2 linked regions of the Caenorhabditis elegans genome follow. The protein of the gene in region 1 interacts with the protein of each later gene in a pairwise test. Each region holds a gene or a part of one and is shown in the gene's direction. Other genes may lie near its edges.

What was found.
Region 2: the proteins of mics-1 (region 1) and atad-3 interact in a two-hybrid assay, tested with the Caenorhabditis elegans proteins (one study listed by BioGRID).

Annotation. Positions count from the first base shown.
Region 1 is NC_003283.11:10,576,010-10,584,505, reverse strand, and holds mics-1 (PDZ domain-containing protein), read left to right. Parts: upstream 1-6,179; 5' UTR 6,180-6,184; coding exon 6,185-6,248; intron 6,249-6,296; coding exon 6,297-6,476; intron 6,477-6,521; coding exon 6,522-6,652; intron 6,653-6,702; coding exon 6,703-6,980; intron 6,981-7,025; coding exon 7,026-7,154; intron 7,155-7,443; coding exon 7,444-7,543; 3' UTR 7,544-7,996; downstream 7,997-8,496. Other genes in the region: T21C9.6 (Phosphoenolpyruvate synthase), read right to left, coding at 1-113, 161-400, 451-590, 637-1,122, 1,204-1,268, 1,314-1,405, 1,448-1,839, 1,885-1,969 and 1 more; lpd-9 (LiPid Depleted), read right to left, coding at 3,954-4,145, 4,567-4,699, 5,114-5,184; erh-1 (Enhancer of rudimentary homolog), read left to right, coding at 5,480-5,570, 5,642-5,772, 5,818-5,907; vps-54 (Vacuolar protein sorting-associated protein 54), read left to right, coding at 8,100-8,299. UniProt on the Caenorhabditis elegans protein: Plays a role in the regulation of lifespan in a partially daf-16-mediated manner, and may be involved in regulating the levels of reactive oxygen species production in response to heat stress.
Region 2 is NC_003280.10:10,245,630-10,254,450, forward strand, and holds atad-3 (ATPase family AAA domain-containing protein 3), read left to right. Parts: upstream 1-3,361; coding exon 3,362-3,736; intron 3,737-3,782; coding exon 3,783-4,795; intron 4,796-4,842; coding exon 4,843-5,242; 3' UTR 5,243-5,535; downstream 5,536-8,821. Other genes in the region: nrde-2 (Nuclear exosome regulator NRDE2), read right to left, coding at 1-521, 567-731, 781-902, 1,077-1,489, 1,535-1,611, 1,657-1,770, 1,820-1,881, 1,939-1,981; F54B3.1 (Protein SZT2), read left to right, coding at 5,665-5,723, 5,888-6,179, 6,364-6,534, 6,581-7,058, 7,647-8,186, 8,574-8,821. UniProt on the Caenorhabditis elegans protein: Essential for mitochondrial network organization, mitochondrial metabolism and cell growth at organism and cellular level. Important during development for the up-regulation of mitochondrial activity during the transition to higher larval stages.

The DNA of each region.
Region 1 (8,496 bases):
CTCCACGATCTAATTTTACTGGATTTGCGGTGAACATAACTCCAGCCACTCCGTTTCGATCCATTTCTTGAATAACTACAGCCATTGACGGATTAAGCTGCTGACCGTAGTTTCTGTAAACGTCACATTGTGATTGAAATTTTAACTTGTTAAAACCTACTTTCTGTAATTCAATACTTCTCTTCTAAAATTAGAGCCCCAACACAGCTTCAGTTTATCAACTATATCAATTTCAATCACATCCAAGTAACTTTCCAGTTGTCCAGCTGATGAAAGATCTGCTCCATCTTCTCCAACTGCAGATGATCTTACTGCATAGTATTCAGAACGCGGTAACCACTCCTTAATTTCTTTTTGCAGTTCTTGAGACACTTCACTTTCGAAAAGAAGCCCTTCAATTCTAAAATATGTCATGTTTCTAAATATTGGATTGATAACTTATTTTATTACCTTTTACCAACATCCTCATAATACTCGGCATTTTTATCGTTGATATCGAGAAGTTTTATTTCTTCTAAAACATTTGGATTCGCAATTACATGCTTGTTGAAAGCTGCGGTAGTGACAACTATTCCAGGAGGCACATGGAACTGAAAATCTATTTCAACATTGTATATGCTTACTTTCAGAACTTACATCATCGGTGATTGCTTGAAGTCTTGCTAAATTCGCACCTTTTCCGCCAGTTAACATTTTATCCTGACATGCTCTGTGATTGAATGAGACTACTGATTTCATCTTTTCTGATTCAGTTGCATGATATTCCGGGAAACTATCGGGAAGTTTAGTTGTAACTTCATGAATTGCCTCTCTCACTCTAACCACAAATCCAACTCCCGTAAAAATTGCAGAATTAACTTCTAACGCAGTAACGTCGACAACCTTGTTGTCTTCTCGAATAAACGTGAAATGACATAATTTTCGTCCTTTTCTCATTTCAAGAGGGAGAAGTCCACGTGAAACATATTTGAATTGAACTGGAAGCATATTATCTGACTCAAGGGAATGAGAATTATCAATAATTATTGGACGAGCACTGTGATCTGAACGGAATCCCACTCCGTGACTAACTGATTTCTTTTCATCTACAGAGTTGACACGATAGGAAATTGCATTTGCATCCTGAAAACTACTTTCTTAAGCGGGATAAGCCAAAAAGTATTTCTACTTTTCTATAATACAAAAAAGATAAATAAACCTTACGCTCAGGTATGTATGAAAATGTGTAGAACTTGTCTCCAAGTCTAATGGATTTCTATGACGAAGTCCTGAAACTTTGATGGAATTTGGTTTTTGTATCGTGTGTTTTCAACCTCTATATCTATGTTCGACAACTTCATCTTTCCCAATTTTGATTTCTGCGTGATATTCACCCATTTGGTTTAACACATTTCCTTTTCGGTACCTAAAGTTGATATAACGTATTTGTAAGAAATGATTCAGTCACTTTTCGATAGTTTTCAAATTCTCAATCAGTGCAGTTGGTTTGTCATTGTAAATTTCATTGAATGACTTCAAAAGAGCATTTGAATAGAAAAATCTAGCATTCGACACACATTTCCACCATCCCGAAAGTATAACAAAATGAGAGTTGCCTTTAGCATCATTCAGGTATCCACGGAAATTAATTCTCCATTTACGGAATGGGTTTCGAAGCTCAATTAGCAATGGTCCACATGAAATTGTTCGATTATCGGAGAATACTGCTTTGTATGATCCGGAATAAAGAATTCCTTTTTCGAAAACTCGAATATGAGCAAAATGAATTTCATTCTTTGTTATAACTTGAATATACACAAAACTATTATCTTCTCCAGAACCGCTAATTGTTAGAATTTCCTGCAAAAAAAGGACGAATTTCGTGTCTATTTTTATTATTCATACTTCATTTTTAATATGTTCCAGTTCCCATTCCTCTTTATCAGGGTTTATAATGTCACGAATCTTTGCAGTTGGAGCAGTGAACTTTCTGAAATTGTATTGAGTCTACTGTAGCCTTTTTTAGTTTAAAAAAAATCAAAAAAATCTCGGTAATTCACTAGAACTTATAAAAAGACAATATGCATGAATACCATCAATATGCAAGAAGGGAACAGTTAAAGATTTTATTTTGAAAATGTTTTAAAAGTACGATTTCCAAATTTCGATCAGCGAAAAAAAATGAGTGGTATTTAAAGTATTGCAAAAACGTTTGAGTAATTTTTTAAATCAATCTTTTATCTATTCAAGCACATGTCTTTTCTTTAAATACTATAAGAGTGAACGAATCGGATAGTCATCGTTCATATTTTCCATAGAAATCTAGATAGAAGTTTCAACTTTTTGTCAATTTATCAAAGTATGGTTTCTGCTATTCATTCAAAAAAAAAAGTGTGCTCACTTGTTAATCAACTGATAGTATCAAATCACAATTGACAAAAAACTCGAATTTCAATATAGATAACCAGTTTGGGTCGTAAACAAAAAAGTGATCAATTGCCCCATACTGGGTCCATAATCACATTAGTACTCACTTGACCGGATGTCTCCATTTAAGGAACGCGTATATCACTGGATACAATACAAACTTGCATAGTGGAGCTGAAAGAAACAGCAAAAACAGGAATATCAACATTTGTTCTGTAAATACGTAGAATTTTATGTCAATAGCAATACATGTAAGAACATCAATAACTGAAGAGATAGATCTTGATAGTATTTTAGTAATCAGAGATAGCTTCAAGTGTACTTGTCTTGAAACGGTTTATAAAATAGTTTTAAAATGTATATATTTGCCAACTGATTTTCATGTGACACTTAGAATATCTATGTAGTTTGATAAAAGACTCTTGATTAAATCATTAAATAAATACAAAAGTACGTGCAGATTTGATAGTGATTGTGCTAATAAATTAGTGTTGTTGTATTGAAGGTCAAATATTTGTTGTTGGAAAATGGAAAAGATCAATAGCTTCTAGCAACTTATATGTCAAACTCGGCAAACAAAGATTAATTGAGAAATTTTAGTGAATTTTTAAGGCTCAATAATCGGGCATATTGTTTCTATAAAAAATCATCGCTAGACATTCATCTATATCACATCATAGATGAGTATATCATAGCAGAGCTGTCGGTTTTTTGCTTTTTTGGTTTTTTCGTAAAAATGGATTTTTGATTTTTTTTTCAGACCAAATTAACAGAAAAATTGTTTTTCAAAGATGTTATGTTTTAGTTGGATTGATGAAAAATCGAAAAAAATAGAGTGTTTTTTTTTTGGTTTTCTGGAGAAATTCGATTTTTTGTTGTTTTTCACAGCCCTCACAAGGTATATCATCACAAGCCTATCATCACGGCCATATACTCTAATAGTATGACATGCAAGTCGAATTCCAGAGAAGTTAGTACTAAATAATAGAGAATACAATAGAGATGTCACACAATGAATAATCTATGGCAAGGGCTCGAAGAAGAATTCGGCAAAAAAATTGAATAGTTTGAGTACAAACCATGTTTTCCAAAAACGACCAGTCATTGCAGAGAAGTTAACTAGAAAGAATGTGAATTTCTATGTTTATACTTCTAGCATTGGTAAGTTCAAAAAATAAGAAACTGGAAAAGTTGAGTGCTGAAGAATCTTATGGCACATATAAACTGTGGCTGATAACGAAATGATTTGGTTGAACGTATAAGTAGTTATCAGGAAATAATCAATAACTAAGTTTATGACGATGATGATTTTTTCGATAACTGAATTGACGGCGCAAATAAAACCAGCCGACGTATTTAATTTCCATCTGGGTGGTCTTCTAATTCGAATATTGGATATGTTCTTTGCAATGTTGTGAATGTTTATGGGAAGACATTTTTTACAAGAAAAATCTTTTTGTGATAATGATAATGATTACAAATACACTAAAATGGGCTCTTTCTTCCTATGCAAAAAGAAGACGTTCGGACGGTGGTGAATCAGAAATTTAGTCATGGGCATCGTCGTGACCGTGATGTCCGTGATTACGGTACTTGTACTTGAGTCGCTGCTCTTCTGGAACGGCAAAATCGTAGACAACAGTTCCGGCTTTGATGATTCCGAAAAGAAGAGCCAATCGCCACACAATTTTCAAATATTGACCATATGGAGATTGACGGAAGAAGTCGGGGTCTTTGTTCTGAAATAAAACAATACAAATCGCATTGCGTTTTATTTTATGCTGTCACTTTTTAAAAATTGAACGTTTTCTTGTTTAAAATTTTTTTAATTACTTATGCATGAGAAAATTGATTTTTTTTGTAGTACTTATGCCATTTCATAACAAAATATATGATTTTGTGAAGAACTTTGAAATTTTTTTAAAAACATTATGGCGGCTTCAAAAGCCAAGTTTTTAGCCTCGCCGGACAGTCCCGACACTATAAATCTATAGCTGTGGAAGCTTTATGATCAAAAAATTAAAAATTCAGTAAACTAAGTACTAAGGTTATCTTATTTTGAAAGCATTGCAATTAATTCTCAAAACAAAAACATATTTTCGAACTATTTTCGAACCGACTGTACTTTCGGGAACATAATTAATTCTTTAAAAAACTCACAATTGCACGATAAGCAGCTGTCGTCTCCTGCTTGGCTTCACCAAACAAAAACATTTTTGGCATGTTGTTCACATTATCCCATTTTCCCTCACTTCCGAGTCTGTTGATTTCTTTCCAGACGGCGTGGGAGTCACTGCAATAATTTGAAAATTTATGATTCAAAAATTCACCAATTTAGGAAACTGTTTTGTATTCGAGGGATAGATATTACAAGCATTGAAAAATCAATTTTGTTCTTTAAGAGATCAACAATTTAATGCATTTTTTAATGCTTTTAAAGGGAGCAAACGCATATTTTTGGATAGATGATTAAATATTTAGTATTTCGGAACAGATTAAATAAGAAAGTGAGCATTTGTTATATTTGTTAAGAATAATCACTTAGTAAACTAATTGCATTACGAATACGAAAAAGCTATTGTTTAAAATAAAATTCCTGGTAAGAACACAGATATTTTCTGAAATATCGAAAATTCCATTGATATCGTTTTTTAACATGATTTCTTGACATCAGATTATTTAGCCTTTAACACTAAAAAAAACTTACTGAGAGTGAGACGATGCTTGTCGAACTGCAATACGTGCAACCTGGCGGCCGGCGTGAGATAAGCCTGACATGGCGAAATCACCTGAAAATAATTTTTAGAATTTGTGTTGAGAAAATGAAAATTTGATAGGAATTGTTCGATTTTCACAATTTATGCAAAAAACCTCAAACAGTATGGAAATTGTTAAATTATAGAAGAAAGAAAAAATAAAAATAAAAATTGCCCGAACACCAAAAGCGCGCCAGTGGACGTCGCTGACGCACTATTCGACGTACTGGCGCACTTCTTGCTAATATTTTTTTTGCGTTGACGTTGCAGATTTACTCCGTTTTTTCCCTTTCAAAAATATTCTCAATTTTTTGAAAATGAGTCACACAATTCTTCTGCTCCAACCGACAGACAACATCGAGTCACGTTCATGGTCGGATTATGAGAATACCACGGAATGTCTTGAAGGTGAGTAACAAAAACCAAATTACATTTTAAAATTAAAAGTTTATAATCAATTAAAAACTTTTAACTTATAGGAATCTGCAGAGTCTACGAAGAATATTTGAAAAAGAAGGTTCCGGCTCAAAACGAAATCACCTATGACATATCGCACCTTTTCGAGTTCATCGACGACCTCAAAGATCTTTCAATGCTGGTTCTCGACAATGTTGGTTTTTAAAACATATTTTAAATATCGGAAAAAAAATTGCAGACAACATACACATATGTCCCCCACAATAAGCAATATGTAAAGGAGAGCATCTACAAATTAATGAACAACAGGCTCAATAATCAGCACTGATTACCATCCATATGGGTTTCTCACTTCTATCTCTTTCCAACGTTCTCTTTTCTCACTTTTTACGGATTCAGTCCTAAGTTTTAAACTCTTTTCCAAAAAATGTGAAAACGAAATTTCATATCCAGTTATACAATTCATCCGCAACCACATGAATAAATATTTTTAAATGGTGTTATTTCTCTACGTTTATAATTACAGCAGTTGTTTTCTGTGTATTATTTATTTCATTTGGAATTAGTGATTTTCGAAATTTACAAAAATCTTCAAATTGTTCAGAATGATGGTGTCTCCTCCGCAAGAGGATACAGTGTTCAATACCGATTCAGATCCAGTTTATGAACGTAAGTATTAAACTATGGAAGGACTCGAGAGTTGGTAAGAATATTCAGATCATGCCGCTCTCGTTTCCTCCCCATTTCACGCTGATGAAGATCATACATTCGATATTTCATTTGCTGCAGAAGCAACGGACGACATGACATTCAATGATACGACTACAGATGGAAATGGACAAGAATCTGTTCCATTGGAGGCATTGACAGTAGTTGAAATAGAAAAAACATCTAAAGGTATAAATTGTATTTTTAAACGTCTATATAGTACTCATTTTACAGGTTTCGGATTCAATATAGTTGGTGGAACAGACAATCCTCACTTTGTTGGAGATATCGGAATATACGTCTCATCAGTTAATAGCGAGTCAAAATCATATGGAGTCGTAAGAACAGGCGATAAAATTTTGTCGGTTAGTTTCCGATTAAAGTAATTATTAATTTAAATTGTTCCAATGTTTAGTTTGACGGTATCGATATGACCTACAAGACACACGATGAAGCTGTGGAAGTATTTCGAAGTGTTAAAATCGGTCATGTGGCTAAAATGTTGATTGATCGAGAATACTTACATCTTCAAGAAGATCGAACACAAACTCCAACTGCTTCTGTTTCAATTACTCCTCAAGTCACTCCACAGACTCGTAGTACTCAGAATAATACAGACACACCAAAGTCGATGTCGCATTCGGAATCAAAAAGCCGTTTGACGTCTCATGGACTTTCGGCTGTTATAGAAAGGTAAATTTTAAAATTTTTCTGAATTTATTTCTTATTGATTTTCAGAATTCGTGGAAAAGTTTACGAAGAAGAAGATGCTCAAAGTGTTACTTCCTATGCTCCTTCCACTCATTCCATCATTGACGATGTACCGAGAACACCACGTAAACCACTTAGTCTTTTGGATCCGAGAAAGTAAGTTTTATTAATCGGAAATTAAAAAATTCGCGATTTTTATTATTAAAATCTGACTGGACAGAAAAAAAAAATTAAATATTATTATTTGGTAAATAAATTTTTTTGGTGAAATTTTGGTAAATAAATTTGTCGAGAAATGACGAGAAATTCACTTGCATCATCCCATAAGCCTAAAAATTGAAATTGTATTGAAATAAACATTTACGTGTGAATTTAAATTAAAATATTGAGTAAAAAACATTTTGGGGGGGCAGAAATCGGAAAAGTACCAAATGATAACTTTCAGCAATTCTTGGCTAACCGAAGCTTTGTATGTTTCAATCGGTCTTGGAGCATTGACTATCTCTGGATACCTTGCCTACAGATTCATCAGAGGACGCCGTTGATCTTTTTCTCCCCATTTTCTGAATTAAATACTTGTAATATTAATTGTATTACCTCTCTCTCTCTCTGCTTTCTTCTCTTTTTTCTCGGTTTGTTCAATATTCAATTCAATTTTCTCTGTTATTCATCTGTTTCACTTCGTGACAATTTTTGGTGCTAAGTATAATGCGTATTATTGCGATGTAGAATAGGAAAAAAGTAAAATTCATAGATAACAATCCCACAGGTATAAAATAGAACTCCCAGCTTCTCGGTCAAAAAAGTTAATATTCAAATGTTCTTTACATTTTATCGACGTTTTAGTGCGAGTGGTGGGAATATTTTAGCCTTTTTTCTCTCTGAATCTTTCTCATTCTTCTCGCTCCATTATTTCGCACTAAGTGCTGCTCAAGTACCATTTCTATTCCGATTCTCTTTTTTTGTGAGCCATAATAATGAATATTGAACGTTTGTAATTTTATTTTTCTCCGATTTCAACACTGTCTCTTGCAGATTATTATATTTACTATCAAAATTTTTAGTTTTTTACTAATTCTTATTTCCAGAAATGATTCACAAATGAAATCAATGGATGACCGAACAGTAGGTCTTATATCTGCAAGTTCATCAAGAGCTTCACTCAAAATTCAACCGGAGATTGGTTATCCAAGAATATGTGATTATTGTCAGCCAATTATCGAGCTTATGACGGCTTCCGAGTTTGCACGACATATTCGACAAGATCATACGACAAAAGAAGGTGGTAGCTTTCTTTGTAGGTATGTTTTAAAAAATTTTGAAAAATAAAAATTCTAAATATAATTTTAAATCACAGTCAAGGGTGTCATCGAACATTTTTCGTTAACTATATTTTTTCAAGAGAATCGAAAAATCGAAAAAATAAATTTTTTCGATTTTCTGGAAAATAAAAAAAAACCATAAAATTACTTTTTTAAAAATCACATTTTGTTTATAT
Region 2 (8,821 bases), on another chromosome or scaffold:
CTAAGCAATGGTCTATCGTTAACAGCATTCAAATGTGAAAGAAGTGTTCCATTTGTCAATCCAGTCACTTGTCGGATACAATCTTCGAATGCATTCTTCAATTTTTTGTAATTGTACACATTGCTATCATATTGTATATAGTCCAAATACTTGATCCATACCATTGGTTCATGTGGAAATGTGATGGTAAGATTTTTGAAGTCATCAATAATAGTAGGAGAGTTGGGATCCATTTTGATGAGTAATTCAATTTTCATCAATCGAAGTTTTGCATTTCTACCGTCGGCTTTAATGGCTTTTTTCACCATTTCCTGGTGACGTTCGGCAAGAGCTGCTGGATTTGAACTGGAGAAACTTCCAACATTCCGACGACACATTTCTTCTTCCATTGAAATTACTTTGATTAGAGCATCAATGTTATGAACATTTTCGGAAAATGTTTTCTTCGCCTGTTCGAGCTCAAATGTGAACGCATCTTTTCGATTATCCGAATCGTTTGCTAGAACATCATCGTCAATGTGCTGAAATCTTGGTTTTCGGTTTCCGATATATTCAAAATAACTCACATCAAGATTTAATAAATCAACTCTGTCACGAATCTTCCAGTAACCGCCGACTGGAGGCACATATCGAAAGAATGTCTCTTTCGGAACATCCTTCAAGTATCTATCCAGCTGCTCCCAGAATGGGCGGTTTTCCTTGTCTCTGGCATATTCCGCTCCATAAATATTCTGAAAACTGGTTTTTTGAAAAGATTAAAAAATAAGTGCCAAAACATACGTTGAACAGAATATTGTTATGCTCCAAACCGACAATAAACTTGACACTCAATCGACACTTGGCAATTTCTTTCTTCGGAACTCCTTGCGTATAGTTTTCACAATCACTTTTAGTTTGAGTAACTGTAATTTTTTCTCGTTGGAACTTTTTAAATTAACAATAATTTGAAAATTGCGCAGTATTTGCCGGCTGGCGATAATATGAATATTTAATTTCTAAATATATTTTAACTTTGAATCGTAAATAAGCATTAACTTTATTGTGATATGATCACTTTTTTCGATGAAAAAACTTACTAAACGCAGATGAAATGTACGCATCGCACGTGCGATATTCTTCATCGGTGAGAAATGCATATTTTGCAGGTTTGTTCATTTTCATTAAAGTGTGAGATGACGTATCCCGAGCACGAGATGACCTATCCCGAGAACGAGATGAACTAGAGCTTCGGCTACTGGATCTTTTTCGTCTGCGTTCCTTCTTTCTTCTCTTCTTTTCACGACTCCTGCTGCGTTGCCTGCCATTATCCCGATCGTATCGGCGACTGTGAGATCTCGATGGACTCCTGCTGTTGCTTGCTGAACGTTTACGACTTGTGGATTGTTGACTTGTTTCTGGTGGATCTTGGCAACCATTTAAGCTTTTAACGGACGGAAATGTATTGTAAGCAGTTGCCTGAGCTGCTCGGGCCGCAATTTTCGCGTCTCTCCTGAAATTTTATATTATTTTCAAACTAGAAAAATTATTTACGCACAAGGCATTTTGCTTTTTCACCTCTGGGAGAGTGAAAACATCATCTGGATCAATGTACCTGTGGGGGCTCATTCTAATCTGAAAGCAAAAATAAGTTTAAAGTTTAAATGTCACTGGCCTCACCCGAACACCACCATTATCGTCATCACTATCAGATTCTCCAATTCCAACTTGCTGAAAAACAGAGTCATTCTGCACGGCGAGTTTCTGTTTTTCGTTTCTTTTTAGAGTGGTAGTCTGAAATAAATCGCATGAAAGATGAAAAAAAAAACTAAATATTTCTCACCGCTCGTTGTTGAACAGCAGCCCTTGTTTGCGTATAAAGATCTGGATTCTCACCAGAAATTCCTGGAAAAATGAATTTTGCATTTATAAAAATGAGATGAATTCGTAGAAAAAACTTACTTTCTGGATTTTTCAATCCATTATTTCCATACGCTCGAAACATTGTTCATTAAGTTTGGTATGATATTACCCTGAAAACAGCTTAATTCACAATTTGCATAATTGTTTTTTTAATGAAAGAAAGAAAGTTTTAAACAAAAAAAAAAAGGAAAAATGTGACTGTTCGAAAAGAAAAACAAAGGTGTGGGAGGCCCCACGAAAAGGGGAGCAGAACGAAAAGGGGATCTGCAAAAAGGGGAGATACGAAAAGGGGAGATACGAAAAGGGGAGCTGGCACTGTGCCAAACGCACAAAACGCAATTTTTCTCACGCAACGCACGTTGATTTTTGAAGTTTTCTTCTAGAAGATACGCTTAACAACACGCGACGCGTAACATCGGAGCCGATGCACCATGTTTCGGATCGGTATAGGTTCAAAAGTGGTAGAATTATATAATTTATTACTGATAAATCCGTTGAATGATAAAAATGAGAAAGCTCATATTTAACATGCGACCTGCCGGTCCGGGAGTAAAACGAAGAAGTGACGATTTCCTTGCGCGGTGTCGACGTGTTGGGGTTTGATGTGCATGTGTGGTAGTACTGTAACACTCGTGACGTGTGTGTCTTTTGGCGCGGCTTTCAAACAGGAGTTTCCCGGCTTTGTCGTTGTTGATGACTTCGGTGGATTGTCGTGAGCATTTAGAATACGGAAAGACTTCGTAATAATCATAATAATTCTTTAATATTTCCTTGACGCATTTCCTGGGTATTAATATCATTTCTCAGTCGTGATCGGCGGAACATCAGTATTCTGCGTATTCGCGACAATCGTTGTATCGTTTTCTTCGAGAAAAATAGCGTTTGGCACAGTGCCAGATCCCCTTTTCGTTGCTCCCCTTTTCGTATCTCCCCTTTCCGTATCTCCCCTTTTCGCAGATCCCCTTTTTGCAGATCCCCTTTTCGTTCTGCTCCCCTTTTCGTGGGGCCTCAGATGTGGCCTTTGAACGCTGGCGCACTTTACGATATCGAGAAATGCGTCAGAAAATGTCATTGGAGCATAATCTGCCTTAGCGATTTCTGTTTTTTTCCAACAATCTTAATTTAATTTTTTAAAGTTTATTTTTCAATGCAGAATGTGTTTCAAAAAATAGAAATTCGTGAATTATAACGACGGCAGGTCTTTTTTGACGGCAGGTCCTTTAAATTCAGGGAAAATGAGCCGGAAAATCTGTTTTGCATCATCTAATTTTACTGAAAAGGTTGCAACTCTGTTTTAATACTACGTTTTCTTCAAGGATTACACAAAGTCTCTCCGAATTTCATTCCTTTAAAGAAATTATTGTTTCATACTTTGGCATAAGTACATATATAAATCATTTCCTTTAATCAATATTCCTTAGAATATTTTTGCACCATCCCAAGCTTCAATCTATTCTTTCAGATGTCTTGGTTATTTGGTGTTCAAAAAAACGCTACTCCGCAGATTCCGGATGATTTTCAAGCAGGTGCTGCTCCTGGCGGTCCACAACAACCAGGTCAAGGCCAACGGCAAGAGGGAAACAGCAAAATGGCATATTCCTTCGACTCAACAGCTTTGGAGCGTGCCGCCAAGGCTGCTCGTGATCTAGAGAAATTTCCAAATGCCAAAGAAGCTCTTGAATTGTCGAGAATGCAAGAAGTTACACGCCAAAAAGAGGTCGAGAACGAGACCAAGAAGATCGAAGCTCAATTGGCCAATATGAAATCAGAGCACATTCGTGTTGCTGAAGAAGAACGGAGGAAGACTTTGGGAGAAGAGACTAAACATGCGCATTCGGTAATTTTTCCAAACATCTGAATACATAACAACTAAATAATTTCAGCGTGCTGAATATCAAGATCAATTGGCCAGAAAGAGAGCCGAAGAGGAGCTTGCCATGAAAGCTAGAATGCAGGAAGAAAGCCTCCGAAAACAAGAAGAGTCTGTCAAGAAGCAGGAACAACTTCGCAAGCAAACTATTGAGCATGAGTTAGCATTAAAACACAAATACGAGCTCGAGAAAATTGACGCAGAGACCAGAGCCAGGGCAAAGGCTGCTCGAGATAACAGAGATGTAAACTTAGAGCAAATGAAGCTTCACGAAGAAGAGAACCGAAAAACTGTCATTGAAAAAATTAAAACCAGTGGAGAACTTATCGGTTCTGGACTCAATCAATTTTTGAATGATAAAACGAAAATCGCTGCTGCAGTAGGAGGATTGACTGCTTTGGCTGTCGGCTGGTATACCGCTAAACGAGGAACTGGAGTCACCGCAAGATACATCGAATCTCGTCTCGGAAAACCAAGTCTTGTAAGAGAAACATCCAGAATCACTCCACTTGAAGTACTCAAACACCCAATTAAAAGTGTTCAAATGATGACTCGTCAGAAGAAGGATCCACTGAATGGAGTTGTATTACCACCTGCTTTGGAACGTCGTCTTCGTGATATTGCCATTACCACCTCAAACACAAAGAGAAATAATGGACTTTTCCGTAATGTAATGTTCTACGGACCACCAGGAACCGGAAAGACACTTTTCGCAAAGAGTTTGGCTCAACATTCCGGACTCGATTACGCAGTTCTCACTGGAGGAGATATTGCTCCACTTGGACGTGATGGAGTATCTGCAATTCATAAAGTATTCGACTGGGCTTCAAAAAGTCGCAAAGGGTTGATTGTTTTTATTGACGAAGCTGACGCTTTTTTGCAAAAGAGATCAAAGAATGGAATGTCTGAAGACACACGTGCAGCTCTCAACGCTTTCCTCTTCAGAACTGGAGAGCAGTCGAGAAAGTTCATGCTTGTCGTGGCTTCTAATCAGCCAGAGCAGTTCGATTGGGCAGTTAACGATCGGTAATCCTTTTTTTTAAATAAAAAACAGAATTTATTATTCTTTTCAGTTTCGATCAGCTTGTCGAATTCACACTGCCAGGAATGGAAGAACGTGAACGAATTCTTCTGCAATACTTCAACGAGCACATCGTCACTCCAGCAACTAGTGGATCTCGTTCTCAACGACTGAAACTCGATAACTTTGATTGGGTTGCTAAGTGTAATGAAGTTGCCAAAAAGACATCTGGAATGAGTGGAAGAGAATTGAGTAAACTTGTCATCGGATGGCAAGCTTCTGCATATGCATCTGAAACCGGAGTGCTCACCGAGGCTATCGTTGATCGTAATACTGCTGACGCAATGGTTCAACATGAACATAAGATGGAATGGCTTGAGAAGGAGCAATTGAAAGCTCGTAACCAAGAAGTCAAGTTCGGAACTACGTTGAAGAGAGAAACTGCTGTTTAATTTCAAAATATTCATTTCCTTGTTCATGATACTCTATTGTTTTCTATTTACGTTTTTTTGTTGTTTTTTCTTTTCTGAAATCTTCAAACTTCCGGTAATTTCGTAATTTCATTCTTAATCAGAAATTTTGCTGATAATATAATTTTTTTAGATAATTCAATTAGGCCCTTGTTTTTCTATTGTTTTTTTTCGTTTTCCCCTTATTTTCTAGGTCAGTCATTTTTATTTAGTTTTTGTGTAGTAATTTAAGTAGAGTGAAAGATTATTGTTTTTTTTTTGTTAATAAAGAAACTCTTCATTTTAATGTAATACTAACTAATAATCGCTTTTGTTGCACTTCAATTTTTCATATTTTGAAAGCTTCTGAAGAGAAAAAGCAAAAAAAATAATTTTCAGCCCAAATGTTCGATTAAAACGATCAAATGGATACTGAAACAAAAAACTTGCGGGAGGCCGGAGAGGTCTTTCTGTTTATGCACAGGTAAGAAGGAAAAAGCTGGCAATATATGGTTTTTTCAGAAAATAAGAAATCAATTGAAATTAAACGTTTATGAGCTTTTAGCCTAATATTTCCAGAAAAGCAACAATAAAAAGCTAGAAACCACAATTTTCAATATCAGAAATCCTGAAAAACAATAATTTCAGAATCTTCCGTGCATCCCGCAATCTTCGTGCACATTGGTACATTGATCATCTCGGAAAGGCCGTATCAATCGAAGAAGTTCCACAATGCTCATCATATAAACCATCAAAAGATCCAAAAGATGAGTACAGGCAAGAGATGACAGTCATCGGGATTGTACCAGCCGGAGGAGATGGTACAGAAGTCGTTGGAGACGAGCAATTCATTGTGACTGTCAGAACGAAATGCACATATATATCCAGATATTATCGAATTGTTTTTGTTCTTGATCTCAGTCCATCCGTTGTTATGGCGGTGAGTTGGTTTTGGCACGGCTGCGCTGCATTGTTCATCTGAAAATTCTACAAAATGAGCCTTGGTTTTTTGGTCCCAAAAACCAAAAAATCAATGTTTCGTCAAAATACCAAAAAAAAAAACAAATGAAAAACCTAACAAGTCCCAGCCCAGAGCAATTGTGCGAAATCACGTAATTTTTCAGGACGATGAATCCAACTGTTGCCTCGTTGATCGAATCATCCCAAGCCTTCGAAATGCTCTACGATCATCAGTAAAATCATTTGTCATACCCGGAACGAATCGAATTTTTCGTCCTCAAGTTCACACGTCCATCTGCTTGTTCACACCTTTTATGAAGTTTGAGGAGACTTTTGTACGTTCTTTTTTCCGCTTGCATCCGAATTCATAAATTATTTCAGACGTTATGCCAAGGAGTCTTCGTCACTGAATCAAATGTTGATATGGTAATTGAATCGGTTGAGATAAAGTTCGTCGACATCTACAAACGACTGTTCACCTTCTCCCGTCCGATTCTCGAAATGTGGGGAAAACTGAAACGTCGTCACAAGCACAATAAATTCGATTCACTTTGTGAGAGTGACTCGCAGAGTGAAGATTGCAGTCGAAAAGTACCATCAGCGGAAAATATTCACTTATCTGAATCTTCCGCAGCATCGACTTCACACAAAAATGATGGAGATGCAGACAGAGCAATGGATGGTGGGAATCTTATGTCAATACAACGTGGAATATGGTCTGCAACTGAACGTCATGAAGATCAGAAACAATTGTCATTTGCAAGTGATAAGAGTTATGTTGCACCGGATTGGTCGCTGATATTTATGCTTCGAATGGGTCTTTTACAGATTCAGATGCTCCCCGAAAATACTCAATCTAGTGAGTTATCAAGTCACAGGGCTGGGAACAAAAAAAATTAGATTTCCCAGAAATTGAAAAAAAAAAGTTTTTTCGATTTTCTGATATTCTGAAAAAAAAACAGATTTTACAGATAAGTGGAAAAACGAAAAAAAAATTCAATTTCACAAAAGAAAGGTTTTTAAAAAAATATTTTCGATTTTTCAAAAATTAGCTTCAAATTTTGGTTTTTTCTCAAATTATGAACAAAATTAGAATTAAAAAATCATATTTTATGATTCTTTTTTTTTTTTTGAATTACCGATATTCCGAAGAAAAATTGCGATTTTTCGAACAGCGGAAAAACTTTTTAAAAATTTCGATTTTACAAAAATTTGGACTTTTCTTTTGAAGATTTTCCAATTTTTGAAAATCGAGAAAAAAATCAAATCACAAAAATGGGTAAAAATATAGTTGTTTCGATTTTCCGATATTCCAAAGAAAAAAAAAGTGTCTTTCCATATTTAAAAAAATTGAACTTTAAAAAATTTGACTGAAAATTTATTCTAAAAATTGTAAAATTGAAAATTTGAGCTTTTTTTTCATTATACAACGAAAACTTAATTTCAGATCTGGTGATAATCTCTGATTCAGTCTGCGGTATGCCTGACGAAGAAGCTTTGCAAAATGTTCTCACCCAACTCCGCAGTTACACAGTTGCATTTTCGTTCATTCAATTACAAAAGAAAGCTTGTACAGAACCTGTATTCGGACATGTTGGATCATCATCTCTCTTTTATTTCATGACAATGGCAACATTTGGAACATATCTTCCACGTCAAATGCCACAACCACCAAAAGATCCATTAATTCTGAGTAGAACACAAGAGGGTCAATTAGTGATAAAACGAACTGTTGAACATGATGATATAATTGATGAGAGCAAAGAGAATATTAATCAATTTCATCGAGCATTAATTTGTTGGTCATTTCAAAATGGTTTGAATGACAATGATTATTTATTGGATACGTTTGCACAGATTAACAGCGATTTTTTGGAGCTCCAACAGAGTCATGTGGACCGACATCGAAGATTTGTTGCAGACTATCAGGCGACATTGAATCGTATGATGTATGTGAGATTGAGAGAAGGATTCACATTGAAATCTAGTAAGTTATTTATTTTTGTGAATATATTTATATTTCAAAACAGGGGTGAAAACTTCCGCAAATCGGCAAATTGTCGGAATTGAGATTTCCGGCAATTTGTGGTTTTGCACATCTTTTTGGAATGTTATTTCTCTTGAAAAAAAAATTTCCAAAAAGGCACAGGTTTAAGTGTATCCGTCTTATAAAAGAATCCCTCCAAAAACTTCCGCAAATTGATGGTCGGCAAATCGGCAATTTGCTGAAAATCCAAATTTCCGCCAAATCGGCAAACCGCCAATTTTCCAAAAATCAAAATTTCCGGCAAACCGTCAATTTGCCGAAAATCAAATTTAAAAAAAAACGTTTCAAAAAAATTAAAATTTATACTAAAATTTTCCATAATTTTAGCTGTATTCGTGAAGAACAATACCCAAGTAATCCTGACCCTCCGACTCGCTTTTCGACCACTTGTATTCATTGATTACATCATTACTTCGGCATGGCCAGTCAACAAGAATGTACATCAAGCAGTGAATGTGGAGTTGGTACTAGAAGGACCATATAATGAGTTGAAAGATCTTCTAACAGAAAGCAATTATCTCAATCCAATCCGAATGAATCTTATAAAATCTGTAATTGATGGAATCATCGACGCG